2 linked regions of the Pelodiscus sinensis genome follow. Each later gene encodes a partner of the first gene's protein in a complex. Links are inferred from orthologs where the notes say so. Each region holds a gene or a part of one and is shown on either strand. Other genes may lie near its edges.

Region 1 (16,283 bases):
CCAGCAAAAGTCGGTGGCTGCACTCTGAAGCCACCAAAAAATTTGCTCTGAGGCAACAGACAGAAGCAACTGGTTGGATGGGATCCCAGTGGGCCACCAGCCATGTGACCACCCTCAGCCCAGGGAAGAGCTGAAACAACTCCCCTTCTGCCCAGGGCCTGCCTCTTCACTCTTCCACTGTCCTGCCCTCTACTGACTCTTTCACACCTTTGCTTTGCCCCCACCCTGCCTCCTCTCCCAACAGAGGTGGACCAGGTCACTAGCAGGGCCAGCCCTGGCAGCAGGGGTCCATCCTCACACTCACCATTAGTGGTGAGGGAAGTGGAGCAAGGTGACCCACTGCTTTGCTCCCCCAGCTGCCACATCACTCCACTCCCACTGGGGGATGTGGAGCAATCCTGCTCCCTCCCCCCAGCGTGGTACAGCCAGGAGAGCAAAGCAGCATGGAAGCCTTGATCCGCTTTCCCAACCACTACCAGTGAGTGTGTGGGGGGAGGGGGGGAGGCGGAGAAGGCACAGACTCCTGCTGTGGGAGCCTGGCCCTCCCCGGCTGGTTGCTGGATGGCCCCTCCTGTCTCTAGCATTTTGTTGGGGTGGGGGCATGTGATCCCTTGTGGCCCCATATGATGTCCCGATCCCTGATCTATCTTCATTCTCCACCCATTAGATCTCATTATGCTGTTTTCTGATAGATTTAAGCTACCTCTTAATCAATGTTCCCTCTAAATTTTCCCATCCATGTGCAGAATACATTTACTTATGTACACCAAGACATGTGCACATGTACACCACCAATAGAAACACATGCTGCTGATTCTGGTCAGCTGTGTGCACTCTGCCAGTCAGCTGGGTGGCACCTGAATCTCTCCTGGGCTGCTGCCCAAGTGCTCACATTACAGGAAACACTGCTCTTAATCCCTCCTTTCATAAATTAATAGATTGAGCTTTAGACTCCTGCTGTTAGGTGTTTACTCCTGTAGCAGCTGCACCACACTGGGAGTTCATGTTGAGTTGGCTATCCTCCATGACTCATAAAGTCACTGTAAAATACTGCCCCCTATTGAGTGCTATATGTTGTTTCCAGAAGTATGACCTTGCATTTGACTGTATTAAAAAGTACTTTGTTCAAATACAATTTTTGAAGTGATCTCAATCACTGTTTCTGAATCTTTTTGATACAAGGGACAGCTTGCTGCCTTTCTAAACTGTGTCATAAAGATCTCAGGGACCAGTGCCAGTTCATGGACCAGAGGCTGAGAAACACTGATCTAGATCATTATGTAGGACTGACCTATCATTATTAATTTCTCCACCATTTTTGTGTTACTTGCTTACTTTGCCAACAATTTTATATATTTTATCCAGTTTATCTATAAAGATATTGACTAGCACCGGGGACTCCACTAGAAGCACCTCAGTTCACTGATGATTTCCTATTTAGTCACTTTTGGAATACAGACTTTTAAAATACATTTAATATATGCTGCAATGATTTTGTGTAGCATTAATTTTTTTAGTAAGCGTTGCACAGTGCTATGTAAATGTCTTTACAGAAGTCTATTATATCAACGCAGTTCCCAAAGAATAAGCTCTTGAATCCATACCACCTCTCTTGGGTATTAAATGATTAGCACTGACCTTGCTTTATCCAGTCATATGTGGTATAGAAATACTGAATAGCTTGCAGTCTGCATTGGATCCCTAACTCCAGTTTAGGAAAAAGGATTGTCTTGCCAATCACAGTGGACACATCCTCTATTGCAGTGTTTCTCAACCAGTGGTACAAGTACCCTCAGGGATAATCAAGAGAAGTCTGGGGGGTACGTCAACACAACTGAAATTTGGAGAAAACTGAATTTTTGTTTTAAGTTTTACAGTACTGTATTATTTTTGTACTTTTTACACCCAAAAATTTCATCGCCCACCCAGCTATGATTAAGTTGCTTCAACAAATGTGTTGAGATGGCAGAAATTTTTTTTGTGTGTATGAAAATTGTAGGTAGTTGGGATACTTATAATTTTTTTAAAAAAAGGGGGTACTTTATAAAAAAAAAGTTTGAGAAACACTGCTCCACTGTACATCAGCTTCTTGTATGTCTTAGTTCGTGGGTAGGGAACCTCAGGCCTAGGGGCTGGATCCTGCCCCAGAGGTTCAAGGATCTCCTCCTAGCATCGGGGAGTCCACACCTACTGAGAGACTGCAGCACACAAAATCTACTAGCCTGGGCCCCACTAGGCTCTGGTGTGCACAGTGAATATCTTTCTTCTTCTCAGTCAAGGGCCACATCAGTGAGGGTTTGGGTTGTTTTTTTTGTCTTCTCACTTGTGTGTGGCCTCCCCTCCAACTGATTTTTCAATGGGTTAGCAGCCCCCGATGCAAAAAAGGTTCTTCTTCGAGTGATTTCCCCATGGGTGCTCCACATTAGGTGCTGGACTTGCCCCGGTGCCGCAGGACGGAGATGTTCAAACCCATAGTCAGTCAGACTGTGCATGCGTAGAGGTGTGTGTGTGGGGGGGGGGGTGTCTCGCGGCACTTATGCTCTCCCGCGCTGCACGATCCGGTCTCAACCAGTTCCTCTTCAACCGCCTCAGGCTGCAGATGGAGCAATCATCTCTCCTTCTGGTTCAGCCTTTCATGAGAAAAACCCAGTTATAATTCTTCAGTTTATTTCTATAATCGTTTATTAATAGTTCTATATCTGTTCACGTTCATTTAAAAAAAAAAAGAATAAGTTTTTCCCTGTTAGTATATAGTCCTTTAAGTTCCATTCTCCTTCTCTTCTCCATTATACCTTAGATTCTTGTATATAATTTAAAAAAAAAATAGAAAACAAGCCGGAGCACACAAAGGGAAGGAGCAGCATTAACATCCATAATGCCGGGTTTAAGAAATGCTCCCTGTGCAGCGACTCCATGCCTGCGTCTGACGGCGATGCCGCGTGCATCCGCTGTCTTGGTAAGAGCCATGTACCGCAAAAATGCGTACACTGCTCAAAACTTACTGCCAGGGCCCGCCATGACTGCGAAATGAGGCTCCGCAAGATTCTCTTCGAGAAGGCGCTCTAACCGCCAGGGCCAGCTTCGGCCTGCGCAGCAGCCTCAGAAACGGAGCGCCTCCTCTCCTTCCAGGGCTCCTCCTAAGAGGACAAACAACGTCTTTTAAAAAATTTGCAGACTACCCATACTACCAACTGGCCATACCTTTGGATGAGGCTGTCTTGGAAGTTGCTAACGAACACTGGCAGACTCCTGCCTTTGCCCTTCCCACTAATAAGTGGGCCGATAAAAAAATATTTTGTACCCCCAAAAGGGTTGGAATTTCTGTTCTCCCACCCTCACCCCAACTCTTTGGTGGTCGATGCTGCCCAGCAACGAGCCAAGGCCTCTCAGTGTAAAACAAACTCGTTGGATAAGGAGTCAAAAAGGCTCGATTTATTTGGGAGGAAAGTATACACCTCTGCAACTTTGCTCCTTAGACTCGCTAACTACCTAGCGCATCTATCAAATCATAATTTCGATAATTATGCAAAGCTGACAGACCTGATGGAGGCCTTTCCTGAATCTGTAATCCAGGAGGGTTATGCCACCACTCAAACCAGTCTCCAGATTGCCATGGATGTAGCAGACACCGCAGCCCGCACCACAGCCACTGCAGTAGTTATGCGTAGGGCCTCATTCCTCCAAGCAGCGGGATTACCAAGGGAGCTACAATCCAAAGTGGAGGATTTGCCTTTTGAAAAGGATTCACTCTTCGGGGAAAAGACTGACTCAGTCTTACATTCCAGCAAGACCACTAGAACAACCTTACGGTCACTTGGAATGTACATCCCACCTTACAGGAGGAAACGCTATACACCGTTTCAAAGGCATTACGATTATCTCCATCCCAGACAACACCGGCAACCACAACATTGGCAGTTCGACCAGCCACACCAAAATCAACGCCAGAGATCAATAAGACGCCAGAATCAAAATAACCGTGCGCAAACGCATCCAGGCAATAAGCAGTACGTTTGAGGCATTGGTCGGAAGCAAGCATATAGCCCCCCAAAGCCTCGGTCACATCTTTCACCATCTTCTAAGGCCCTTTTACAACCAAATGGGCCAATAACACTACAGACAGATGGGTCTTAGAAATAATCTGCTCAGGTTATGTGATTCCATTCCATTTTCTCCTGCCCACAACTCCCCCATCCCTGTCCCTCTTCAGGGACCCCTCTCACGACGATCTGCTACGGGCCGAGATTTCCCCTCCCCTCCCCATAGGAGCAATAGAGAGTTCCATCTCAATTCCAAGGGAGAGGATTCTATTCCCGTTATTTCGTGGTACAGAAAAAAACGGCAGATGGAGACCTATACTAGACCTTCGACAGTTAAACAAATATATTCGAAAACAACATTTCAAGATGGTGACCTTAACCTCTATTCTACCGGCCCTGGAGCAGGGCGATTGGTTTGCTGCTCTTGACCTCAAAGATGCCTATTTCCACGTGACGGTTCACCCCGCTCACAGAAAATTTCTACACTTCATGATTGGCGCAGATCACTTCCAATATCGAGTACTGCCCTTTGGCCTCGCAACAGCTCCAAGGGTCTTCACAAAAACATTCGCAGTCGTCACTGCCCATCTTTGACGTTCAGTACAAGTCGTGATCATACTCAAATTAATGGGTTATATGGCCTCCGCGACATACGTCGTTCCCCACGCCATTTTACACTTTCGGTCATTACAACACTGGATGACCACAATATACGATCCCATAACGCACAATGTATGCAAGTGGGTAAATGTTCCATCCATGGTCAGGTCTTCCCTCTACTGGTGGACGGGAGATGACAACTTGCTTTCGGGCACTCCGTTTCATCACCTGCCACTGCATTGTCACATGACCACAGATGACTCCCTCATCGGCTGGGGCACTCACATAGGCGATCTCTCCGTACAAGGTCGCTGGTCGCCACAGGAATCCCTGTTACACTTAAATCTCCTTGAATTGAGGGCCTTTGCCAATGTCTGCAGACATTTCCGTACACACCTCCGCAACTCCACAGTGGGCGTCTTCACAGACAACATAGCAACCATGTATTATATAAACCGCCAGGGAGGTGTGCGATCCCGATCGCAATGTACGGAAGCAATCCGACTGTGGAATTGGTGCATTGCCGATGGCACCACCCTTCTGGCATCCTACTTACCTGGCATCTACAACACAATCCCCTCAGTAGGAATTTCGCAATAGCCCACGAATGGGAAATTGATCGGGATATTCTCCATTCCATCTTTCGCCATTGGGGCTCCCCTCGAATAGACCTATTCGCTACCGTCAGCAACAGAAAGTGCCACCGATTCTGTTCCAGAGTGGGCCTAGGCCACCACTCCTTAGGGGATGCCTTTCTCCTCAGTTGGAACAGTCCCCTCATGTACGCTTTTCCGCCTATCCCACTTATCTTCAGAGTCCTACAGAAGATCAAGCTCGACAAAGCCTCGGTCATCCTGATAGCGCTGGAGTGGCCTTGTCAGCATTGGTGTCCACTTCTTATGTGACTTGCACGACGTCCACCGTATCACCTGCTGTTAATCCAGAATCTTCTGACCCAGAAGTGAGGCTTTCTCCTTCACCCGCAATTGCATACACTTCACCTCTCAGCTGGTACCTAGCTGGCTGAATGCCTCCAAGGCCCTATGTTCTGACCGTGTCAAGGATGATCTCATACACAGTAGGAAACAAAATACACGCATCACTTACCTTTCCAAATGGCCACATTTCACTTCCTGGTGTTCTGAACACAACGTGGATCCTCAAATGGTCCCCATTTCCATCATCCTAAATACACGTGCAACAGAATGGACTAGCCTTATCGTCTTTAAGAGTCCATCTCGTGGCACTGACTGCATTCCGACAGCCAATAGAGGGATTTTCACTCTTTGCTCACTCCTTCACCAAGAGATTTCTCAAAGGCCTATTAAACCTAAACCCTCCTCTGTGCACTCCCACCCCACTATGGAACCTGGACTTGGTACTCTCCACCTTAACAGCACCACCTTTCGAACCCCTAGTCACCATACCTCTCCAGACCCTCACCCTAAAGCTGGTCTTCCTCATCGCCATCATGTCAGCACACAGAGCAAGTGAGATTTCGGCATTAATGGCATCGCCTCCCTACACCATCTTCAATAAGGGTAGTGTTATTCTAAGATATCACCTAGCCTTTACTCCTAAAGTTTGCTCAGAGTTTCATCTCAACAAGCCAATAGTGCTACCTACCTTTTACCCAAAACCTCATACCTCACCATGTGAGGCAACCCTCCATACACTGGACATACATAGGGCCCTAGCCTTTTACTTGGAGCGTATTAAACCATTTAGGAAAACTGATTGATTACTAGTTTCCCACACAGAACAGTCTAAAGGACAACCTTTATCATCCCAGAGAATCTCTAACCTAATTGTTTCCTGTATAACCCAGTGCTATACACTATGAAAGGTTCCCCTTCCACAATCCCTTAGGGCCCACTCCACTAGGGTAGTGGCTACCTCTACTGCTCTCCTTAAAGGCGTACCCCTTTCTGATGTATATAGTGCTGCCACCTGGCCATCCTATCAAATGTTTGCCAAACACTACGCTATTCAAACAAGATGGCTCTCAGATACTTCTGTAGCATCCGCAGTTCTCTCCTTACGTACATAGTGACATCTGAATCCCATTTCCTTCACTTGGGTGGGTACTGCTTCTCAGTCACCTAATGTGGAACACCCACGGGGACATCACTTGAAGAAGAGAATGAAGTTACTCACCTTCGTGCATTAACTATCGTTCTTCGAGATGTGTGTCCCCGTGGGTGCTCAACTACCCGCCCTCCTCCCCACTTCGGAGTCTGTTTCCTTTTTTGCAGATTCTGAGGCGGGTCCGAGGAACTGGTTGAGACTGGATTGTGCAGCGCGGGAGAGCATGAATGCCGCAAGACCCTCCCCCCTCCGCGCATGTGTGGTCCGACTGACTACGGCTTTGAACATCTCCGTCCTGCGGCACCAGAGCAAGCCCAGCACCTAATGTGGAGCACCCACAGGGACACACATCTCGAAGAACGATAGCTACTGCACGAAGGTGAGTAACTTTGCTTTCCCCAACCTCAGACATTGGTATGGCATCTAGTCAGGATTTAAAGGTTGAGTAAATTTTTTGGTATTACACCTAGTTCAGTAATGCAACTTCTAAGCTTTCATCCAGTTGAATGAGACTTTACAAAGTAATGAGAAAAAATGGCTCAGGTCTTGAAGGACTTGAAGGACTGGATTCTGTGAAAGGTGCCTTCAACTCCCATTGAGTAAAATCCCAAATCATTTCTGAAATGGGCTCTTAGCATATAATTCAGTAGACTGGGTTCCTTTATGTCAACTGTGTTGTGTGCACTCTACCCATGGCAGCTTGGGGATTGCTTTTCCCAATGTCAGCAGACCTTACTAGCACATGGGGATAACTGATTAAGTCTCAGCTTAGAGGTTTCTCTTATAGTTATAAGCTGGCTGCCTGCCCTGCTCTAACGTAGCCAGCTTTGCCAAGGGCTCTGCAGTATAAAGCTTACGTAAGCTTTATACTAGAGCCTGCAAGGGCATGTAACCCCTAGGATTTTTAGCAGTTACGTGGTTTCCAATGTGCAAACGACTGTTTCTATTCCTAGCACATGTGCACTGGAGAGCCAGATGGTTCCATTTTTTTCCCTGCGGAAAGGTGCATGAGGGGCCAGGGGATCCATGGGATCAGATGAGGATGCCCCGAAATCCAACCTCTGTCCCTGCTCTAATAGGAAGGGGCTGGCCCTGGAGATAGGGGCCCGGCAGCTTAGAGAAGGGCGCAGCCTGCAAGGAGGCGCTGGCAGCTCCGCCCATAGAGCGAGCCCCGCCGCCCCCGAACGCTAACTCTTTCAGGGGGCTTCGGCGTTCGCAAACAGCCCGCGCATGCGCGCACACTGCGACGCGCTCTCGGGGCCGTTGCGGCACGCCGCCGTTCAGGTGTCCCCTGTCACGTGACGGGGAGCACGGCCCGCTCCCAGAGCGGCCTCGGGGGAGTTGGAGCATGCGCAGAGCGGTGGTTGCTGCCGCGGTTGGTGCCGCTACTCGCGCTCGGCAGGGCGAGTCTCTATGGGGAGAACATGGCTCCCTTCCCCGACGAGGTGGATGTCTTCACGGCGCCGCACTGGCGGATGAAGCAGCTGGTCGGGCTCTACTGCGACAAGGTAGCGGGCGGGACGAGGGGGAGCCCGCGGCCGGAGCGGGGTGGGACCTGCCCGCCCCCAGGGGAGGATTTACAGAGTGCGCAGCGGTCCCCGCCCCTCTCCCCGGGACAGGGCAGGGACATGCGGCCCTGGCGGGCTGCCGAGCGCCTCGCTCCGGCCCGATGTCCACCCAGCAGCCGGGGCTTCTTCAGCCCCGCGAGCTGGGCAACTTGCGCCTGCCCCGGCGCACAAGTAGCCGCGTCTGCTTCCCGCCGCCCCCGGCAGCAGGGCTGTACTGCTCGGGGGCCGTCCCGCTGCCCCGCCCGCCCGCCGGGCTCTCTTCCCCTCTAGGCGGTTTTCACCCCCCCCCCCCCAAACTCCCAGCAAGGCTCCGCTGGTTTTTCCCGGCTGGGAAGAGCAGGGCTTGTTGTGGAGCCGCCCACCCTGCCCCTCCCGTTTTATAAGATGCAGCAACTTACCCCGTGCGGTTCCACTGTCGGAGTTAGGTGTACAGGGCCCTGGCGTGCTGTGCAGGTGTCGGTATCACGTGCCAGGCGCCCCTGAAGGACCGACATGGCTGTGAAGGAGATTTCTCAAACATAAAAAGGCTTGTTGATTACATTGGAAAGGCTGCGATTTTAGAAATCTGGCGCCTCCCCCCAAACTATGGTGTGCCAATCTCAATGGTGGCCGCAGAGCAGCTGCTGGCGTAGCTCTCTGCTGATGTTGACTTTTCTCATTTGAAGTTGCAAAACTACGTTGATAGTCGCTTTAAGAATACGTTAAATAGCTTCTTAATGTTATTTTTCCACAAAAGTAACCTTTGTCATTTCCGCAGCCATGTTATGTGATCACAATTGATCTGCCTTTTGGGAGAGGCATCTACATTACAGGTACAGGTAGTGCAGAGGGATGTGTGAGACAATCAGTAAAATGTCGTCCTCTATGCTTATAAAAAGTTTGAGCCCACCCCTACTGTAAAACATATCCTTTGATTGCTGCTGTTTTTGGCCTTAACATTCTTCTGTATTGGGCTTTGAATGCTCATACGCTTTTATTAATGCACTTGCTTTTTCAACATTGCTACAAAGTTTATAGCAAATCAATCAGTTTGTCTTCAAAGCACACTTCAGTGATGCTTAAGTAGTAGGACTGGAGAGTGGGTTGTTTTATATATTGACAAAATCGGGTATTCAACTGTCCAGTCTTCTGTGGGTTTACTTTCTAATTTTCCAACAAATTCATGCAATAAACTGTGGCCCAACCATCACAAACTAGGTACTGGGGCAACAAATCTAGCTTTGCCCTTTTAAGTGTAAGAAGGGAAGGAAAATATGTAAGATTGTGTTGGGTTGAACATATTTATTTACTCAGAGTGTAGTTATTAATGGTTCACAATCATGCTGGAAGGGCAAAACAAGAGGGATTCTGCAGGGGTCTGTTTTGGGACCGGTTCTGTTCAATATCTTCCATCAACAATTTAGATGATGGCATAGAGAGTATGATTATTAAGTTTGCAGATGATGCCAAGCTTGGAAGGGTTGCAAGTGCTTTGGAGGTTAGGGTCAAAATTCAAAATGACCTGGACAAACTAGAGAAATGGTCGGAGGTAAATCGAATGAAGTTTAATAAGGATAAATGCAAAGTTTTCCACTTAAGAAGGAACAGTCCATTTCACACATACAGAATGGGAAGTGATTGTCTAGAAAAGAGTATTACACAAAGGGATCTAGGGACCACAAGCTAAATATGAGTCAACAGTCTGACATTGTTGCAAAAAAAGCAAACATGATTCTGGGATGTATTATCAGGAGTATTGTGAACAAGACGAGAAGTGATTAGAATGTTAGGAGTCATTAAAAAAGAGATAAAGGCAATAAGATATTTTCTATCTTATTCTCTATGTAAAACTATGGTACGCCCTCATCTTGAATAGTGTGTGCAAATGTAGTTGCCTCATCTCAAAAAAGATACATTGGCATTGGAAAAGGTTCAGAGAAGGGCAACACAAATGATTAGGGGTTTGGAACGGGTCCCATATGAAGAGACATTAAAAAGACTTGGACTTTTCATCTTGGAGAGGAAGAGACTAAGGGGTGATATGATAGAGGTCTAAAAATCATGATTGGTGTGGAAAAAGTAAATAAGGAAAAGTTATTTACTTATTCCCACAATATAAGAATTAGGGGTCACCAAATGAAATTAATAGGCAGCAGGTTTAAAACAAACAGAAGGAAGGTTTTCTTCACTCATCACACAGTCAGCCTGTGGAACTCCTTGCCAGAAGATGCAGTGAAGGCTAGAACTTTAACAGGTTAAAAAAAGAGCTAGATAGATTCATGGCGGTTATGTCTATCCATGGCTATTAGCAAGGATGGGTAGGAATGGTGTCCCTAGCCTCTGTTTCTCTGGAAGTAGGAGACAGGGGAGGGATCACGGGAGGATTACCTGTTGTGATCCCTCCCTCTGGGGCATCTGGTATTGGCCACTGTTGGCAGACAGGATACTGGCTAGATGGGCCTCTGGTCTGACCCAGAATTGCCGTTGTTATGATCTTATGATTCTTCCACTGTACTCTGTACTGATTAGGCCTCAATTGGAGTGCTGTCCAATTCTGGGCACCACATTGCAATAAAGATGTGGAGAAGGTCCAGGGAAGAGCAACAAAAATAATTAAAGGTCTAGAAAACATGAGTTATGAGGGAAGGCTGACGGAATTAGACTTGTTTAGTTTGGGAAAGAGAAGACTGAGAAAGGGCATGATAGTGATTTTCAAATATGTAAAAGGGAGGAGGGAAAAAAATTGTTCTCCTTGGCCTCTGATAATAGGACAAGAAGCAATGGGCTTAAATTGCAGCAAGGGAAGTTTAGCTTGGGCAACAGGAAAAACTTCTGAACTGTCAGGGTGGTTAAACACTGGAATAAATTGCCTAGGGAGGTTGTGGAATGTCCCTCACTGGAGATATTTAAGAGCAGGTTAGACACACGTCTATTCAGAATGATCTAGATCAGAGGTGGGCAATAATTTTTGCAGGATGCCATTCCAAAATTTTGGATAGTGGTCAAGGGTCACACTCTTCCATAATATTAATAAAGGAGATGTGGGGTCTGGGATGGAAGTTGGGTGCAGAGTGGTGCTTTGGGGTAAAGGATTGGAGTGTAGGAGGGAGACTGGAGTCTGAGAGGAAGTTTGGGTGAAGGAGGCGGTTGTGACCTAGGGTAGGGGATTGGAGTGCAGGGTTTTGGGATGTGACCTCTGGTAGAAGGGGATTGTGATCTGGGGCAGGAGATTTGGGCCCCAGATCTTGGCAGGGGTCTGAGCGTAAGAGGGGGACAGAGGGTTTGGGTATATTGAGATTGGGGGGGGGGGGGAGAAGAGGGTTAGGGCAGGGAGGGGCTGGAGTGCCAGAGGCAGGCAGTGGTCAGGACACTTACCAGCCAGCAGCCAAATCTGCCTGCCTGCACAGCTAAGGCTTGCAGAGCTTAAAATGTTTCTCTGCCTGACTGCCTGCTTGCCTGGCCATGTGCTTCATTGAATAACTGAGCTGAGGATGGGTGGGGTTATGGTTCTTCTTGGCTGCCTGTTGTTCAAACAGGCAGCTTCCATTGGCTGGTTTCTGGCCAGAAACCAGCCAGTGGGATTGTGCTGGGGATGAAGATGAGGTGGCTCCTGAACCCCCACCTCCTCTAGTTTTGAGACAGAATGGAAGCCTGGCTGCTGTGTTTCTGCATGGTGCGTGGGGCTGCGGGGCAAGCAGGGTAGCCTGCCTGGGCCTGCTGTCTCCGCGGGCTGAATCCGGTGGCTTGGCAGGCTGCATTTTGCCCATGCCTAATCTAGATGGTGCTTGGTCCTGCTGTGAGGGCAGGGGACTGGATTTTATCTCTTGAGGTCCCTTCCAGTTCTAGTATTCTGATTCTGTTTAAGCTCCTTCTTTATCTCCGACCTTTGTATTTGAGATCAGTCATGTTTGCTAGATAATGGAGAAGTTCCTGAATTGTTTTTTGGCTTCCATTCTAATGAGGTTATTGTTAGTTACTCAGACCAAATTGGTAGAGCCGTGCAAATCTGTGGATATCTACTTTATTTCTGTGCATATCTGCACCTCTGCATGTGGGTATCTACGGCTCATTTTTACAGATTCAGAGACTAATTTTGTATCTATGCAAGGCTACACATCAGGTTTCACTGTATAAAATATTAATTATTTTCAGGTTGTCCTTTCACATCCTATGAAGCATGTCAATTTTGATTTTAAGATCTTTCTCTAATTTCTGTTCACATGTTAGTGAACCTGTAAATTTTAAATCTGTCTGGAGGAGCACATTAAAGAAAAGGTACTTCAAACCATTCTTTTGAAGGGAATTTATCAAGCTGGCGTCTTTTACTTCTTACAACATAATTGTACATTAATCTTTGTTGAATTTGAGGAGAAAATGCTCCTGACTGAACTGAAATGCTGCTCAAAGGCCTGGATAAGGGATTTATATTATTAAAGTGTGACTACATTTCTCTAGCAACACAGGCAATGAAAATATTTCATTATTAAGGGTTTCAAAATTAGGGAAGTGTTAGTATACATGTTTAAATGGTTAACTGATGAACCTGGGCTCATTGATTAACCTCCATGGTTACACACCATGGAGGGGAGCCAGCTGGCTCAGCATGCATTGGCTCCTGTGGAACTGCTCCCTCTCTCCACATGTGACCAGTGAAAATTAAAAAAAAGAAAAAAGCCTTTTAACATCCCTAATCAAAATCAGCATTCTGATTTTCTGTTTCAAAAGACAAAATTTTGTTCAGTGACACATTTGACTGTGAAGAAGCTGACTCTTTTCTGGATTTACATAGCCCAGATAATTTCTATCTTGCTGCATAACAGTTCTTAATATTATTTTCATTTTACATTAGAAAAAATATTTCCATTTTTTCAGTACTCACTCCATTTCACTGAGCTGTGAGTTTGTTGTCAGAAACATATGCAGTGATATTTGGTAATAATTAAACTCTAAGCAGTGACTACAGTGTTGATTAGTGAATACTTCCCTAGATTTAGTATGAGAAACAACCACCAAGCAAATTCAACTCTACTAAGACAGAAAAATAAAGAGGAGTTTATAGAGAATGTTTATATAAAACCACATTATTAGTTGTCTTTCAGTCCTTATAAAAGTTTCTAAATTCAAATAATAGAGGCCTTCTTATAATTTACAACTTTGCTATCCCCTCGTCAATATCCCAAGACTATTAAATGAGCTCACTAGCGATGCCACTTGCCATTCTCAGTAACTCCATCAATTTATTTTCCCATCTTTGTTTCGAGACAGTTCTGTAACTTCTCATTGTGTTTATTAGAAAATAACACTGATTTCATCACTTTTCTTTACAATATTTTCAATCACATATGAAAATTTCAGTGTGTTCCTAATATAATTTTTTTTAAATGAGGTGTTCTCAGGTAAATCAGAGGTCTAAAACATGAGAGAAACCAGCAAATCTATTGTATTGGAGTCTCAGAGGGGTAGTTGTGTTAGTCTGTAACTGAAAAAAATTGAGAAACAACAAATAGTTCTGCAGCACCTTAGAGACTAAGACCATGTACAGTTTTTGTTAGTCTCTAAGTTGCTGCAGAACTATTCATTGTTTAAAGTTTTATTGTATTGGAGTTTTCAGAATTAGCTCCTTCCCTAGCTCCTCAACCACATCTCCTTCCGTGTTCAGATCTTCCTAAACAGCAACTGGTACATCAGCTCTCTCTTCCTCCTCCCTTCAAAGCTGACCAGCAGCAAAATATGTTCCTGCTTCTCTAAATCACTTTTCCCTCCCCACTTTATCAATTGCTATCCTTCCAGCATCTACTTGAGAGCTTGAGCCCCAACCCTCTGCCTCAGTCCTGAGCCCCCTCTCATATGCTGAACCACTCAGCCCTATCCCCTCCCCATCATGAAAATTCATTCTGCATATGGGTGGGAAAATTAGAGGGAGGGAACGCTAGATTCTGCAGCTAGGAGTGAATCTCCCAGTCAGGTAGATGGACTCGTATGAATGGGAAGGGAGAACACTAAAAATAGCACTGTGGTGATTGGGGCTGGATTCCAGGGACAATGAAATCTAGGGGCTCAAGTCTTTTTGAAGACCAGAAGGTGGTATTGTTTGTCTGCCCCATGGCCATGGTGAAAAGTTCTGAGACCATCTGGAACCTGGAAGTGCTCCGGGCAGCCGGACTATTGGAGCTGCTCTGCCCCCGGCTTCCCAGAGTCAGCCGCTGGTCAGTTTCAGCAGCGGCTGACTTGGAGACGCCTGGGCCAGAGCAGCTGGGGTGCTGCTGGGTTGGTCCCGCAGCGCCGAGGGGTGCATCCCCCACACTCCACCCCAGACCCCTCATAGCCCCACCTTCCGATAGTCCGGCATATCTGATAATCGGGCACCCCCGGGTCCTAAAGGTGATGGATTATCAGAAGTTTACTGTAATAATGTAGAATTAAATTTATATGTGTGGTATGCATATTCTTAATCTGTTTAGCTAAAATATATTAAAAGGAGAAGTTTAATTTTATCCTATTGATTACTTCTGTTGAACTTAGGTAAACTTCCAATAAGTGACAGAATTATTGTAATCGTTTGCACAGTGCAGCTTGTAATGTATTGTAGGGGATAGGCTGACCTGGAGTAGCATAACTGCAGGTTGCACCTCCTTTAACTGGGACTCTCTGTTCCAGCAACATCTGTGGTGTGGCATGGACCACAGAGCCGAGGAACAGGGAGGTTTGGTGGTGGGTCAGAAGCGTGAGCCCAATATGTGTGTGTTTGAGTGCGTGGGGGCAGGTGTCATGGCTAGGAGCTTCTTTCCCAGCAGCCGCCAGGCAGCTCTGGCCCAGCCCTGTTCTAGCTCCAGCAGCCAGGGAGCTCCAGATCTAGTGACATCTAGGGAGCTCTGGTTCCAGCGCGGAACTGCAGTCCCAGCTCTCAGTCCTGGCTGTGAAGCTAGGTGGTTGCAGTGCTCTGGCCCCACTGCAGCGGGTCTGGCAGCATTTAGAGATCCGTGAGGGGCTAGGACAGCATCAGAGGCAGGCTGGCACCCTAACCTGGTGGCAGTACCGGTCAGGAGAAGAAGCATCTCCAATGGTCTGGCAAACCCCCTAATTTGAGACCAGTCAGGTCCAACCTGTATTTAGTAACCACTCAGTTTGTTTCACTTGTATCACTACTGGTTGCCAAGAAAGTGACAATATGGCTCTAGAAACTAGAATCACACTGTTTTTATACAATTTGTGAGTTGCCTTGTAAATTATGGGAAAGATTGTATACATAAATAACTGTTTAGCTGTTGTAGTACAATCATTATTCTATTTCCATTTCTCATGATTGAGTAAATTAATATATTTCTGTTATTGCTTTTTTCCCTTTGGAAGTCTTGATCTTTTGTTATCTCTCGTGTGGTGACACATGCTCAAGACACATGCTTAGATAATGCTTTATTGAATTGAAATAATACTTTGTGCAGCATTATGATTGCATTTCCTTTTATGAATGTAAAATCATGTTAAGGCTTGCATAGCAATTGTAACACAACATATGCATATTTAATATGTTGTATTGATATGTTTTGCAGAGCTTCAGGCTAACTTTTTGGTTTGATAGTTGGCAGCTCACCAGAAGTCTTTACTGTTAACTCTGAATATTTGTTGCTTCCATATTATCATATACTGACTATACTTAGGGGAACAAAAGCTCTTTCTGAGGTATATTCAAAAGATGAGGATGATGAACCCAATAGTGAGATCCAGGACAAATATTGGATGAAGGGCATAGATTGATTTTCCTGGCTGATGGGTGAGGGAAAAGTTTGTTGTTGTTTTTTTCCAGGAGTTTTGGCTGACACCTTGTATCTATCTCTAGCTTATTGAAGTCTGATGTCCACACTGATTGAAGGCAGATACAGCATCACATAATGCAGGTTTCTCAATCCCATTGCCATCTGCTTTTCAACTGAAGTGAGTGTGTGACAGCAAGCATGTCATGGGAGGACAGTAAGTGTGTGGGCATGCTATCTCGTAAATTCTAACAGAG
Region 2 (16,132 bases), on another chromosome or scaffold:
TGTCTGCACTAGACCAGGCGGGTGCCTGCCTCTTGCGGCCCCGGGCAGGCTTCTGGGAGCCACCAGCCTGGTCCCAGGAAGAGGCGGAGGGCTGGGTGGCAGCGGGTGGCTGGCTCGTGCCGTGCCAGGTGCAGGGTCTGCTGGCTGGGTGCTGGCAGGCTTGCACCTGGCACGGGCACCGTAGCCAGCCTGTGCCCCTTTAAGGGCTCCGGGGTTGGGAGGGGGGCAGAAGAGTTTCCCTGGTGGTGCCCAGAGTGGCCACCAGGGAAAGCTGGGGAGGGCTAGCCTCCCACTAGTTCGAATTAAGTGGCTACACAGCCCTTAATTCGAACTACTTAATTCGAACGAGGCGCTAGTCCTCGTGGAATGAGGTTTACCTAGTTCGAATTAAGCGCTCCGCTAGTTCAAATTAAGTTTGAACTAGTGGTTTGTATGTGTAGCGCCTATGAAAGTTAATTCAAACTAACGTCTGTTCCCTGTGGTAGGGGGATGGGGTGCATAGTCTGGAAGGATGCTTGGATGCAGGAGAAGATTCTGGCCTGGGGGAGGGATGTAGGAGGAGGCTCTGGGTCGGGGAGGGAGTTGTGACGTAAGGTAGGGAGGTGCAGAGGGTTTGGATGGTGACCTGGGGGAGGGAGCTGGGCTGTGGGAAGGGCAGGAGTGCCAGAGGCAGGCTCTAGCTGGGAAGTACTTACCTATGCATCTCCTGATCTGCAGCACCCCCCAGGCAAGCTGGGCTCCCTTCCTGCTGCAGCCCCAGACCGCTTGAAAATACAGGCTGTTCCCTCCATGTGGATCTCAACTGCAGGTTGGGAAAGAGGCTCGCGCTGCCCCCATATCCCAGGCCAATCTCTCCGCTCTGATTGGCTTGCTGTTTCCAGTCAATAGAAGGTGAGAGATTGGCTGAAGTCAGTTATCTGGCCAATAGGAGCTGAGGATTGGGCTGTGGGTGGGGAGATCACACAAATCAACCCCGCTCCCTGCAGCAGAGAAACATAGGACCTGTACTTTAAACTGCAGCAGCTGTGTGCCTAAGACTCCTGGCAGGGTGGTTCATGGGCTGGATCCAGCCCCTGGACAGTATTTCACTCAGCTCCAGGTTAACTGGCTAAACAATATAATTTTACCCATTTAATGGGGTAACTATTTTAACGGTTTGCCTTGACCCCCACTCCCCAGAAACTTTTCCACCTTACTTCTGCAGATATTATGGAGCAAACGCAAGCAGTTACAACAGTGGGAATGTGGCTTTCACTGAAGTCGAACTTAGTAAATAAACTTCAGTACCTTGTCTTGCATTCTGCATTTGTTCAGCCAGTAGTTCCACGTGCAGGGCCAGGTAGGCAGGCAGAACCTCAGAGTCTCCATGTGTTGATGAGACAACGGTATAAGGAGAAGGGGTTTAGATTTATTAGGAACTGGGGAAGCTTTTGGGAAAGAGGAATCCTCTACAGGAAGGATGGGCTCCACCTAAACCAAAATGGAGCCACACTGCTGGTACTTAACATTAAAAAAAGTCATAGAGGAGTTTTTAAATTAATGGCTGGGGGAAAGTGGAGGGGTGCGGAGAAGCACATGGATCAAACAGAGACATCTCTTGGGGAGGGTCTATTAATAGAGGAGGAGAGGATGGAAGATGATAAATTATGGGTAAAATCAGATGAGAAACAAACCAAAAAGAGTCTAACGCATCAGGAAATGGCACACAGATAAATAATGATACATTTTTAAGTACTTATACAAAAATGCTAGAAGTCTAAATAATACTGTAAGATGGGTGAATTAGAGTGCTTATTATAAAAGGAGGATATTGATATAATAGGTGTCATAGAAACTTGAGGGAATGAGGACAAGTCAATGAAACACTGTCACACCAGGGTACAAAATATATTGGAAGTACAGATCATGCTGGTGGGGGAATGGCACTATAAATAAGTGAAAGAAAATATAGAAACAAATGAAGTAAATAAACCAAAATGTTCCATAGAATCTCTATGGGTAGTAGTTCCGTGCTCTAATAATAAGAATATAGCAGTAGGGATATATTATCAACCCTCTGACTAGGACAGTGATAGTCAGGGCTCGACAATTAATGTAATCTACTCACCCGTGGCAAGTAGATTACAAGCCGGCACAGATGTGCAGCGCGATCTGCACATGCGCACCGTGCCGAACTGTGCGGCCGGCGAGTGGGGCTCGCCACGGTTTGGCGAGCCCTGGTGATAGTGACTATGAAATGCTAAGGGAGATTGGAGAAGCTATCAAAATAAACTCAGTATTAGTGGGGGATTTCAACAATCCCCATATTGACTGGGTTTATGACATCTAAAGACAGGATGCAAACATTAAAATGTCTTGATACCTTAAATGACTACTTCTTGGAGCAGCTAGTACAGGAACCCACAAGGGGAGAGGCAATTCTCGATTTAGTCCTAAATGAAGCACAGGATCTGGTCCAAGAGATAAATATAACTGAACCTCATGGAAATAGTGACTATAATGTAATAAAATGTAACATCCATTATTACAACATAATGTAATAAAATGGGAAAAACAGCACAGCAGCCCAACACTGTGGCACTGAATTTTAGAAAGGGGAACTACACAAAAACGAGGAAACTAGTTAAACAGAAATTAAAAGGTACAGTGACAAAAGAAAAATCCCTGAAATCTGCACGGAAAGTTTTCAAAGATACCATAATAGAGGCCCAACTTAAATGTATACCCCAAATTAAAAAAAACACAGTAAGATAACCAAAAAAGTGCCACTATGGCTTAACAGTGAACTAGAAGAAGCAGTGGGAGATAAAAAGGCATTGTTTAAAAAGTGGAAGTTAAATCCTAAGGAGGAAAATAGAAAGGAGCATAAACTCTAAGTTTAAAAATATGAGAAAATTCAAAAAGGAGTTTGAAGAACAACTAACCAAAAACTCAAAAAGTAATAGCAAAATATTTTTAAATGCATCAGAATCAGGAAACCCGCTAAACAACCATTCGGGCCCCTGGATGATTAAGACACTAAAGGATCACTAAGAGATGATAAAGTCATTCCAGAAAAACTAAATGAATTCATTGCTTCAATCTTCACAGCTGAGGACATTAGAGAGATTCCCAAACCTGAACCATTCTTTTTAGGTGACAAATCAGAGAAATTGTCACAGATTGAGGTGTCATAGGAGGAGGTTTTGGAACTAATTAATAAACCGAACAGTAACAAGTCACCGGGACCAGATGGCATTCACCCAAGAGTTCTAAAAGAACTCAAATGGGAAATTGTGGAACTATTAACTGGTTTGTAACCTATCGATTAAATCAGCTTCTGTACCTAATAGAAGATAGCTATTGTGAAGCCAATATTTAAAAAGGGCTCTGGAGGTGATCCTGCATAAATGGCCCACCTTGATAGAACCTGTAGGCTACTCATAGGGCCAGGGCAAGTCACCCCTTATGTCCCTAACTCCTCTTCTTTGAGGTGCAGCCCTTGTCTTGTGAAGTTGTGTCCAGAGCAAATCCAGTATCTACAGCAGGAGTAGACAAAACACCTCTCAGCAGGCTGGATCCAGCCCACCTAAGGCTTTGATCCAGCTCAGGCAGCAGTTGCAGGCCCTGCCTCCTGAGAGCTGGAGATGTGTGAGCCTTTTCAGCTGCTTCTATTTAAAGGGCTTGCACCGGCAGCCATGGGGAGGTCACAAGCCCTTTAAATAGGAGCAGCTGAAAGGGCTTGCATGTCCTGGTTCCCAGGCAAAGTGCTAGTTGCACCAGAGCTGCAAGCCCTTTAAATAGAAGTAGTTAACAGGGTTCCCCACTCCTAGGCTTTGTCTACACTGGCGGGTTCTTGTGCAAGATCTCTTGTGTAAGCAAACATCCACACTGGCCAGAACCGCATCGTAAGAACGCTGAGCTCTTGCACAAGAAAGCGTCCACGCTGGCGGGAAGCCCTTGCACAAGAACGTGTCTCTGGAAGAAATTTGGCCATGTCAAGAGGTCACCAGCAGTGCCTGTGGGCATGCGCCAGAGCCCCACTGGGAAAAGTACTTAAAGGGACTCCTGGACGGCTGTTTCCTTTGTGAGGGAGCGAAAGCCACAACAGCACCTGTCACCTCTGTTCCTAGAAAGTGCCCCTGGGCACCCTCACTGCCACCGTCACAACCATGGAGCCGAAGGAGGACCCCAGCCAGCAACATCCCCTCATGGCCATGAAAAAGACTGTGGAGCTCCTCCACCAGGGAGTCACATTGCTCCAGCAGGAGCTGGAGAGTGGGCAGCAGGTGCAGGACCTCGCCATGGCTGCAGCTGGGCTCGGACACCCGCACTCCACCACTGACAGGCGCCTCTGGAGCTACGACCCCAGTGGGAACTGGTGGGAGTGGCTGGTGCTGGGACAATGGGGTGACCAGCAATGGGTGCAGAACTTCCGGATGCGCAGGGGGACGTTCCATGAGCTCTGCACCTGGCTCACCCCTGCGCTCGGGAAGCAGGGCACCCGCCTGCGCCCCGCCATCCCCGTGGAGAAGAGGGTTGCGATTGCCCTCTTGGAAACTGGCCACCCCAGACAGCTACCGCTCAGTGGCGAACCAGTTCAGGGTGGGCGGGTCCACCGTCGGCACGGTCGTCCGGCAGGTAAGGCCCTCCGTGGACCACAGGCTCGTCCTGGGGGAGGGAAGGAGCCAGACCAGGCGGGGAGAGGCTGTAGGGGCAGGGGGAAGCCCCACACCCAGGGGGTCATCCTGTCCCTCCCCTGGGACCCTGAGGGGGGGAGGAAATCCCGGGGAGCAGAGGGCCCTGGCCTCCATGGGGGGAGGGGCCATCAAATGGAGGGTGAGCACACCCTAGGGGCCCATGTATGCACTGTGTCTCATTCCATGCATCCCCTGTGCTCCCAGGTGCCCCTCTGCAGGTTGTCCAAGCCATCAATGATGTGCTGCTACAGAGGGTGATCCGCCCCCATGATATGGACATCACCATTGCCGGCTTTGCCAGCCTTGGGTTCCCGAACTGTGGGGGAGCCATAGACAGAACCCACATCCTCATCCGGGCGCCAGAGCACCAAGCGGCCCAGTTCATAAACCGGAAGAGCTACTGCTCAGTGGTGCTCCAGACACTAGTGGACCACCAGGGCTGCTTCCAGGACATTTATGTGGGCTGGAGGCGGGCACCTACTTCCCCTAGTGGGAATTCACCATTGGAGATGCCAGTCTGCATCCTGGCTGATGCGGCCATACAGGCCACTTTCAACAGCCACCTGGACCGGGCCCGCAATCCTGTGGAGTGCACCTTTGGGCATCTGAAGGCACGGTTCAGATGTCTCCTGACCCGCCTGGACATGGGGGTGCAGCACATCCCGGAGGTCCTCTCGGCATGCTGCGTGCTCCATATTATTGAGGGGAAGAGGGAGGCCGCCTTCCCAGGCTGGATGGCAGGTGAGGGCCAGGCCTACCAACCACCATGGGGTGCGGGTCCAGGAAACCCTCCGGGTGATGCTGGATCAGGCCCCACAATAGGCCGCCCCTACACCTATGACCGCAGGGATGCCCCTGTGCCCCCAATTCCCACTCCCATCACCACCCCTTCCTGCCACCCTTCCCTCACCTTCCAATAAATAAAATGCACTGGCTTTAGATAAGGCACTTTTATTTACACAGGAAAGGGAGTGCACTGTGGGGAGGAGGGGACCCGGAACTGGGAGGAGGGGGGAAGAGAGGACCCTGAACTGGGAAGAGGGGGGAGGAGGGGACCCTGAACTAGGAGGAGGGGGGAAGAGAGGACCCTGAACTGGGAAGAGGGGGGAGGAGGGGACCCGGAACTGGTAGGGCCTCATGATTGTGAATGGAGGCCTCTCCCACCCCCATGGGTGCAGGGACACCTCTGCCCCTCATGCCGGGCTGGGGCAGGCTGCACCAGGAGGTGGCAAGGCAGGGAAGACCTCGGGAGGGGGCATGGGCAAGGCAGGGGGAGAAGCGGAGGAAGAGCTGAAGGTGGCATAGCGGGGCCTGGCAGCATTGGGCTGCTGCACAGGGTCGATCGGGTCTGCAATGGTGCCCAGGAGAGTGCACACATGGTCGCAGCACTCCAGGTACTGGCCCCACACCCGCTCCCGCCACTTCGCATCTGCGGATCTTCTCCATCAGAGCGTGCTCCATGAGTTCAATTGCGCAGACGTGGTGGCAGAGCAGCTGGTGGCGGTCCCGGGAGCGCTGCGATGGGCCCTGGATCCTTTGCGCCGGCGGGATGGGGCTGGAAGATCCCTCGCTGCCAGGGGGTCCCACTGCAGGAGAAGCAAAGGAGAGCAACATGGTCAGTGAGCCCTGCCCCAAATGGTGTTCCAGAGCCCCGTGCCCTCCTCCCAGCACGTCACGATGCCTGGGGACAGGTGTGGCTGGTGAGGGGGAATTCCCCTGGGGCAGCGTGAGGGGAGTCCCAAGGTGGCCCAGGAGCCCCCAGGGGGGCCGCATGTGCTTGGGGGAGCCTGTTGTCCCTTTCCCAGGGGAAGCTACAGTGTCCCAGGGGTGACCATGGATGTGTGCTGTGTGCAGCACCCTTTAGGCTGTGTGGGGTCAGGCCTGCAACCTTGGGCTGGCCTACTCCTGGTCAAACCCAACTGCCCCTCCCCCAGTCTGGTCGAGCGGAATCCCCGGGGTCCCAGGCGTGTGCTGGGGCGAGCTGCCACTTCTCTGTGCCACTCGGTCTGGCTGCACGTAGGATTGTCGGATGGTTTCAATAAAAATACCGGACACACTTGACGTTACATGACAGTCTACATTACACCTTAGTTAGAAAATCCCAGACATGTATATTTTCTCATTTATATCCCCTCAATTTGTTTCCCAAACAGAAAGCTCAAAGACTGGACTGTCCAGTTCAAAACTGGACACCTGGCAACCCTGGCTGCACAAGGTTGCACGTGCTGCATGCCTCTGCGCAGCATGTGGCCAGGCTGTGCCATGTACTGCTATCTCTCCCCCACCCCTTCTCCAACACACTTGCGAATGGTAGCCACTGCACTCACCAGACAATCCGTTGCCAGCTTCAGAGGATGCCCGGGACACATCCTGACTGATGGTGATGTCAGGATGGTGGGCCAGGATGGTGAGGTCTGGCTGCTGTCCTCTGCCACCTCCTCCTCCTCATCTGAGGACCAGTCTCCCTCCTTCTCCTCCTCCTCCTCCTCCGGTTGCCTACATCAGACCACTGGGGTGGCCACCGCTGTGTCCACGTGGGCCAGCAGGGGACTGGCCCCTTTGTCCAACAAGATCTGTTGCAGGCGGTGATAATGGGGACAGGCAGTGGCTTCGCCACCCCCACGCTCACTGGCCCGCACGTAGGTGAGGCGCAGGTCCTTCACCTTGGCCCACACCTGTTCCAGGTCCGGGCTGGGTGTCCCCGCACGGCCAGCGCCTGGGCCATCTGTGAGTATATGTGGGCATTCTTCCTCTGGGACTTGGGTTCCCGGAGGGCCTCCTCCTTTCCCCAGAGATCCAGGAGGTAGTCACCTCAGCGGTGCTCCAGCATGAAGCCCGCCACTTGGTGCCCCTTTGGGCCTGCTGGGTGCTCTGGGGTGGCTCCTTGGTGGGGGTCTGAGGGACCTGACTGAGGCTGGGCAGCTACCATTCCTCCCTCTGGCTGCTATCCGGGCCACACGTGGCAAATGGCTGTGCTGCATGCCTGTGCCTTTAAGGGGGGAGGCAATTGGGGGAACCGAGTGATGATTGTCTGTACGGAGTGTCAGAGAGGCCACCTGTGTTTTTGACTGGAGGCCAATTCTTGTGCAAGTACGCATTTGCCGAACGTTCACACTGCCCTCTTGCGCTAGAGCTTACACCTGATAGAAAACAGCGTAGCTCTTGCACACGGAGCCGTCTCTTATCACGCCATACTGTACATTTACTTGCACAAGAGCGGATGGGCAGTGTAGATGCTCTGCGGATTCGCAAGAAGCCGCAAGTGCAGACGTAGCCCTAGAGCACTGCCTGGGAGCCAGAACACACAAACCTTTCCAGCTGCTTCTATTTAAAAGGCTCGCACCTTTACAATGGACGCCAAACAACGTGTTGCCCAAAAGAGTTCTTGCGCAAAATCATGCCAGTGTAGACGTAGCCATGGTGTGAACCCTTCAAACAGAAGCAGTTAAAAGGGCTTGCAAGTCCTGTCACCCTAGCAATGCACTAGTGGTGGTGGGAGCTACCAGCCAACTTAACTGCTTCTATTTAAAGGGCTCACACGTTCCCCACAGATGCATTACCCGGCAGCCACTCAGCAGGTGCAAGCTCTTTAATAGAAGCTATTGAAAGGGCTCACTGCTCCCAACCCCATGCTAGTCCATTGCCTAGGAGCCAGGGATGCATGAACCCTTTCAACTGCTTCTATTTAAAGGACTGTCACCTTCCCCATAACTCTCAGGCAACAGCCCTGGGGAAGGGGCAGCCCTTTGGACAGAAGCAGCGGAAAGGGCTCTAGCATGCCTGGCTCCAGGCAATGCACCAGGAGCAAGGCCAGGAGCAGCAAGCCTTTGCAATAGCAGGGATTGAAAGGGCTCGCAGCTCCCCTGTTAATGTGATGCCAGGCCCCCTCACGCTCGCATCCAGGCCAGCCCAACCATAGACAAGCCACCACCCCCTCCTGGAGTGAGCCTGGAAGTATCGCGAGAGCTGCCTCGCTCCGTTCCCCCCCTCCCTCCGCCGTAGGTCTCGCGAGATCACCGCTGTTTTTCCTTTCTTGCCCTGACCCAAGGTGTTGCGCTCGCTGTCAGCTAATCAGATGGCCGGAATCCACGGGTAATCTCGCGATGTTTGCTGCTGGCGCCGCCCCCCTCCGCCTCCCCAGTCTTCCTCCGCGCCCCCCTCCCCACGTAGCGTTAATATGGTCGCTCGCGATGGACCCTGCACGGCCAGGTGAGTGCGAGCGGGGCTCGATCCCTCCGCCGACGGGCCCCGCGTAGCCGCGCCCCGATTCCCCGGTTCGCAGGCGCCTGCCCCGCTCGCCGCCCCTCCCCGATCCGCCGCCCTTTGTTCGGCCCCTCGCCGGTCACGGCTGAATCCCGTCTCCCCTGGGCGTGTAGATCTAACGGGGCTGCGTAGCGGGCGCACCCCGCCCTGGTAGCGCTCCGCCTGCGCGCTCCCGTCGCGGCTTGTCTGCGCGCCGGGCGGGGGCCGCCCCACAGCTCTCCCCCCCCACAAAATGGCCAAGCCCCGCCCTTGCGACACGGGCGGGGGGTGACCCCCTTAGCGAAGGGTGAGCTGAGCAGGGCCCATCACACACCTGCCAAGCATTCGTGCCGCGACACGGGCTGGTGGAGTCCCCACGAGCATGATGTACTGGGCCCCACGTTTCTCTGGGCAGGCATGTCTGTCACCGAGGGTACGTCTAGACTACCGCGTTTTGTCGACAAAACTTCCGTCGACAATTTGCGTCCAGACCCATGGAGTTCTGTCGACAAAGCAAGCCGCGACAGAACTCCGTAGTCTGGACGCAACGTTACAGGCAAGAAAGAACACCTTCTGTCGACAGAAGGTGTTTTGCCTCGTAAAATGAGGTATACCAGCGTCGACAAAACCGCGGAGTTCCGTCGACGTTATGTCGACAGAACTCCGCGGTAGTGTAGACGCTGGTATTGTTTTGTCGACAAAAGTCCACTTTTGTCGACAAAACTAGGTAGTCTAGACACACCCCAAGTCTCTCAGGGTGTGTCTAGGCTACCTAGTTTTGTCGCTTTGCAGTGTAGACAGAGCCTAGGAGAGCGAAAGAGGATTTTCTTCTCTTCAATTCTATCCCCACCTTTTGGACTTTTGTCGACAAAACTATACCAGTGTCTACACTACCGCTGAGTTCTGTTGACATAACGTCGACAGAACTCAGCCGTTTTGTCGACGCTGGTAAACCTCATTTTACGAGGCGTAACACCTTCTGTCGACAGAACTCTGTCGACAGAAGGTGTTATTGCCTGTAACATTGCGTCCAGACTACGGAGTTCTGTCGACAAAGCAGCTTGCTTTGTCGACAGAACTCAGTGTGTCTGGACGCTCTTTGTCGACGGAAGTTTTGTCGACAGTATCTGTCGACAAAACTTCCGTCGACAAAACGCGGTAGTCTAGACGTACCCTCAGTCTTTACCAAGCTCTTCCAAGTCCTGGGTTAACAACAGAAATGGGTTGAAAACAATGGATCTCCTGCTTGTTTTCTTTTTGAGTACCTTTGACAATGCTGCAAAAGCGACGAGGAGTCCTGTGGCATCTTATAGACTAACCGAAGTGTTGGAGCATAAGCTTTCATGGGCAAAGACCCACTTCGTCAGATGCAGTATTTGACAATCCTGTAGAGAAGCAAGGAACAGATAGGGCTTTAGTTTTTAACCTTGGGTTAAAAATCCCATCACTTAGATAATTGAGTGCCATGTCGATCATTACTTCAGAAGGTGGAAGGGCTGGTTCATGCAGTTACTATTTATTAAGCTGTCTCACTTCAAGTTGGGGGCCACTGATTCACAGAAAAATCAATTGGGGCTGCACACAAGTGAGAAGTGGCCCTCAACTGAGGAGAAAGACACTCCCTACATTCCCCTACTACACCAGAGCATAGGGAGGCTCAGCCTAATAGATTTTGTTGCTCCAGCCCCCAGGTGGGGCAGTGGGAGGGCTGGAGTACCAGTGCTGGCTCTCCAATGCTGGGGCGGCGGGCTTAAGCCTTGGGGGCCAGATCCTGGCAAGCCGGGGGCTGCCTCCAGCTCTGGGGGGTCTGAGCTTCCCCACCCCTGCTTTAAATGTTTGTGAATACCTATCTCACTAATCTTTTGATCTGAGGAAGTGGGTCTGGCCCACGAAAGCTCATCATCTAATAAACCATCTTGTTAGTCTTTAAAGTGCTACATAGTCCTGTATTTTATCTCCCTAAGTATCTCACTGTATTTTTTAAATGATTATGTCCACGTTCTTCTGTTATTGTTGACCATTTCCAGTTCCTTTTTAATTTCCTTATCCTGTAAATACATTTAGCAAGTGAGTAATGTGCTACTCAGGCATGTTTGCCTTTCAGAGTTAGGGTCTAAATGATCAGCTGTTAGTAGAACCTGTCATCATTGTATTAAATTATCATAAAAGTAAAATAATCTGTGAAGTGCCCATGATGCTGCATTTACATTATAGAGAAAATGTGACCAAAGAACCAAGGCAGATCACTAAAAAAGTTAAGCTTCTATTGCTGGTACAATCTTTTAAAATCAATGAAGTCCATTTTCGTGCAAACACTGAGGCTACGTCTACACTGGCCCCTTTTCCGGAAGGGGCATGTTAATTTCACCTATCGTAGTAGGGAAATCCGCGGGGGATTTAAATATCCCCCGCGGCATTTAAATAAAAATGTCCGCCGCTTTTTTGAAGTAGGAATAAGACCCTCCGGAAAAGGGCACTTTTTCCGGAGGATCGGGGCCAGTGTAGATGCTCTTTTCCGGCTTTTTTAAAAGCCGGAAAAAAGCGGCGGACATTTTTATTTAAATGCCGCGGGGGATATTTAAATCCCCCGCGGATTTCCCTACGACGACTGGTGAAATTTACATGCCCCTTCCGGAAAAGGGGCCAGTGAAGACGTAGCCTTATATTTAACTTTACTCACTGGAATTATTCCATTAATCCTTGTAAGGCTGGTTGTGGGTGGTATCAAGTTTTAACTTTTGTTTTTAAAACAAAATTGAATTTCTTATGTATGTTCTTTGGGCCTCCCTAAAACGTTATTAACATTTTTGTCCACTTACATTAATATCAATTGAGTGGCAATAAATATTATTTTTGTAAATACCATTCATATTGAAAACAATTTCAAATTAATATGCAGTTCTTTTCTACAGACTTTTTTCTCTTCCCTTGGTAAATAAGGTCTGTTAATAAAGTGGCTAGCTCAATGGTTTGAGCATTAGCCTACTAAACCCACAGTTGTGAGTTCAATCCCTGAGGGGGCCGTTCGGAATAGGAAGCCTAATCCGAACTACCTAGTTCGTGCCACGTGTAGCCGCGGGCACGGAGTCCGAACTAGCGGACATTTAAAAATGGCGGCGCCTGGCAAGATACAAATGAAGCTCGGGAAATTCAAATCCCGGGCTTCATTTGCAACTCTGGTTGCCTACATTAACCACCCTAGTTCGAACTAGGGTGGTAGTGTAGACATACCCTATATAGAGACTAGATGCCATATTTGTAATGGTATTTAGATATGTAGTGGGACTTACAAAGGTTTCTACATGTCTAACTCCTATTGAAAGCCTCATTCCTTAAGAGGTTTGAAAATCCTAGTTGGTACCTATTTAAGCACCTAAAGATCTGGCCCTGAGTGATTTGTCCAGCGTCACACAGTGACATCTCTGGTGAAACAGGGAATAGAACTGCATTCGTTTGAGTCCCAGGCTACTGCCTGAACCGCTGCACCATCTTTTCTTTCCACTTCATAATTTGCTGCATTATTTTTCAGAATTTCCGTTCCAGTACTTAATTGAAAGATTAAACGGCAACCCAGAAAAGAAGTTCTACAATATCCCTAAACTTGGAGGCACCAAGTATGGTAATACTACTTTTGAATAGCTTTTTATTCGTATGGTTCCACTGGTAAATATGTACCAGTTATGTGATGCAGGAGGAGGAGCTAAAAAGTTGAGTAGTAGCTTGTTGTGAGATGAAAGAAATGATGCTTCACCAAGCTTTTGTGCTATGAGAGCAGTGAGAGATGCTACTTGATCTTTATTTTGAATGCTTTCAGTAAGTCATAGAAAACATTTCCATTACAGAAAATCACTACTTCTGTTACAGAGTTAACAAGTGATGACAAAAACACAAACTCTGTGTTAGGGATGTTAAATGGAGTTTAATTTACTAATCAGTTAGTCGATAAGCGGAGGAAATCGCGGAGCTGCAACGGGGTTAGCTCCTGGCCCTGGGAGTTAACCTCTCCGCGGCTCTGCCTTTTACATGTATGAAGAGCTTGCCAGCTCTTCATACATTTAAAAAGCTGAAGCGCTGTGGGGGAGACCAGGCGCGAGCCGGAACAGCTTACATCCCTACTCTGTTACCTCTCTTGTAAATAAATGCACTGAAATGAATTTATGGTGTTATCACATAATTCTTCTACATTTGTGTATCACTGACCTATTTACTCTAAAGACACTCTCCTGTTTCTTTGAGGGTTTCCTTGTGTTACAGTTTAGAGCCAAATGCATTTCCCTTAAGTCAGTGGTCACTGACCAGTAGATCGCGATCTTGGAGCTTCTGTCAGATGATCCTGACTGGTTTGGCTAGGAAGTTATCAACAGTTAGCACTTCAGTTTCCCCTCCATCCACTGTCATGCTGCTCCACCCCTCTGCTTGGAGCTGCACCGTCCCTCCCCCCAAGAGCCTCCTGCTTGCTATGCAGGGTGTGGGAGGGGAAAGAGGGGGGCAGTGATATCAGGGTGTCTCCTCCCCTCTTATTCATGTACCCGATCTCCACACAGAGAGAAGGGAAGGGAGGGAACTTGGCAGTGTAAATATCTGTCACTCTCACACACTGTGTCTCTCTGTCAGTCTTACACTCACACACACTGTCCATCACTCTTGTCTCCCGACCCAACATATACGTGGGTTGTTGTTTTTACTTCTTTAACCGCTTATGAAGTGTGTTAGTTTTGGTTTGTGACTGGTCTGTGCATTTCATAAGTTTCATTTCTCTCTTATGCTTAAATTTAATTCTTTGAGTAGTGAGTTCTAAAATGCCTAACCTGTTGTGGCTGGGGTCATTATCTCTATGGTAATTGCTGCTTCTGGAAGTGGCTGGTGTGTTCCTGCAGCCACTGAGAAAGCATGTGGAGACCCCTTCTCTGCCTGTCTTTGCCTGCAGACACCACTCCTGCAGGTCCCATTGATCAGTAGTGGGGTTCTGTGACCGGTAGAAACTGTCGGCACATGGAGCCATTGCTGTACATGCCAGCTGCTTTCAGGAGTGGTGCAGGCTCACGACAGGGTAAGCCTGCTTTAACCCCACTGCTCCACACCCATAAGCCATCTCAATTATATAGTGCCCAGCCAGAGCCTGCTTCCTGAACCCCTGTCCCAGCCCTGACCCTCTATGGTAATTGCTGCTTCTGGAAGTGGCTGGTGTGTTCCTGCAGCCACTGAGAGAGGCAGAGCAGGGGGTACCCAAACTCCTTCCCAGAGCCTGCACCTCAGCCTCCTACCCCATGCTGGTGAAAGTGAGTGAAGATGGGGAAGAAAGGCGGATGGAGTGAGCAGGGTGAAGCCTCGGAGAAAGGGTAGAGCAGGGATGGGCCTTCAGAGTGGCGGGAAGGAATCAGGGTAGGGGTATTTGGGTTTGAGGTAGATCTTGTATTGCACATAAATAGAAAGTGATTTTTTGTTTAAAAAGGTTGGAGATCACTGCCCTAAGTGATGCAGCAAGGGTACTTGCTGTCAGGCTTCTAGCTCCCTTGGTGTTGCCTTACGTGTATGGAGACTTACTTTGATCTCCTTCCTAACTGGGTATTTCCTGGCTGAACAGTTCCCTGATTATACTATAAATCAGTGGTCCCCAACCTTTTGGAACTGCCGCGTGCCCGGGGGGCGGGGCCACACACGCGCTGGGTGCCCGGGGGAGGGGCCCCCCATGCGCTATGCGTCCAGGGGCGGGGTCGCCAATTCACTGCACACCCAGGGCCGGTACCCCCCATAGCCGCGTGCCCGGGAGTGGGGCCTCCAATTTGCCGCACGCCTGGGGCTGGCGCTCCCCATGCGCCGTGCATCCGGGCGCAGAGCCGCCCATTCCCCGCACGCCTGGGGGCGGGCCGCCCATTCGCTGCACACCCAGGACCGGTGCTCCCCAGGCACCACGCGCACGGGTGCGGGGCTGCCCATTCGCTGCGCGCCCGGGGCCGGTGCCACCCATGCGCAGTGCACCCAGGACCAGCCCCGAGCACTTGGCGAGTGCACATAAATACCCCAGCGGGCACCATGGCGCCCACAGGCACTGTGTTGGGGACCACTGCTATAAATTCACCATCGATGTCAGGCTGCATGCTTTGCTTTTTTCTTTTAGAGATAGTTAACAATGCAATTAACATAAGCACTCCCTATCCAAGTATATTTAATCATTAGGTATAAACAAAGAATACAGATAAAATATTAAACAATTCAAAGAACCTAATTACATACTAATAAGCTTACCAGAGGTCAGCCCCACTGTCTTTAGTATGGGCTCTGACCATACTAGTCCTTCAGCACTCCACCAAAGAAACTTCTATTGTGGTCACAAGATCATGCTATTCTTAGCTCAAAACTAGAGGGCTTATGGAAAAGATTAGATTATTTTTATAGTTTGGAGGTCTTTGAACTGGAATTTTTATGAGTAGCTAATCAATAGCTACTCATGAAATAGGTAATTGGTTTCTCTCTGCATGGCTTAGCTTCAAAAGGATGTATTCCTAGTGAGTCATTTGCATTTCCTTTGAAGGAGTAAAGTAATGACTCTCTTCAATAGTTAGAGTGCTAAGTTGGAAAAGGAAGAAAACCCTCTCTTCCAGTAAATATGAGGGACTTCAAAATTATCAAACATATATTTTGTATTATGTGTTCTGAAAGATGGGAGTTCCAAACCAGGGCCCTGAGACCGCATTTGGGTAGTTATCCTAGAACTTGTATCTTACCAAGTCATCCATCCTCCATCTCATTTGTGACTCTCTGTTCTACAGTTTAAATGGTCCATCAATTTTGTTGGTTCTAAATTGCTATAGAGAGTCTGGTTGTCATAATATTTGAAGTGGGAGCACAAGTATGAAGTTATGAAAAAATTGTACGTCCGTGACAGACTGAAAAATCTTCTGTCTTTTGGACTTTTGAACTATGTAACTAGAAAGGTAGTGCATTGAAATTCCTTTATTATTCATTAAAGAGAAGAATACAGTCGACAAGATAAGATTATTTTGTTCTGGTAATTTGAATGGTATGGTGACATCACATTTATTTTAATCAGATTTCTGTTCAATTTGCTTTTTATATGAATTATCTAATTAGAGAATTTCAGTGACTGCTTGGTAAAATGTATCTAATGTAACTGAAGCCACCAAACATTGATGCAATAGTTTGTAGGCAGACAAAGTCCATGGTCTCTGTTGAAACTAGGGATGTGAATA

The links.
Region 2: the proteins of FBXL5 (region 1) and IREB2 are in contact, whole or in part, in a cryo-EM structure (PDB 6VCD), measured with the Homo sapiens proteins. The link is inferred for Pelodiscus sinensis from reciprocal best matches to the Homo sapiens genes FBXL5 and IREB2. Residues at the interface, in NP_036293.1 of Homo sapiens: Asp656, Glu657, Tyr661, Cys662, Asp663, Asn664, Ile665, His669, Ala670, Asp671, Thr672, Ala673, Ser674, Gly675, Cys676, Gln677, Asn678, Leu679, Gln680, Cys687, Arg688, Ser689, Gly690, Glu691; in NP_004127.2 of Homo sapiens: Asp89, Phe90, Ser129, Asn217, Val220, Glu221, Arg224, Arg228, Ala758, Gly759, Ser760, Arg763, Asn764, Thr777, Pro778, Arg779, Asn782, Ser783, Tyr784, Gly785, Ala786, Arg788.

Annotation. Positions count from the first base shown.
Region 1 is NC_134715.1:107,297,834-107,314,116, forward strand, and holds the start of FBXL5 (F-box/LRR-repeat protein 5), read left to right. Parts: upstream 1-8,054; 5' UTR 8,055-8,152; coding exon 8,153-8,236; intron 8,237-8,694; exon of another isoform or gene 8,695-8,910; intron 8,911-16,283.
Region 2 is NC_134724.1:39,659,908-39,676,039, reverse strand, and holds the start of IREB2 (iron-responsive element-binding protein 2), read left to right. Parts: upstream 1-8,763; 5' UTR 8,764-8,782; coding exon 8,783-8,888; intron 8,889-12,450; coding exon 12,451-12,540; intron 12,541-16,132. UniProt on the Homo sapiens protein: RNA-binding protein that binds to iron-responsive elements (IRES), which are stem-loop structures found in the 5'-UTR of ferritin, and delta aminolevulinic acid synthase mRNAs, and in the 3'-UTR of transferrin receptor mRNA.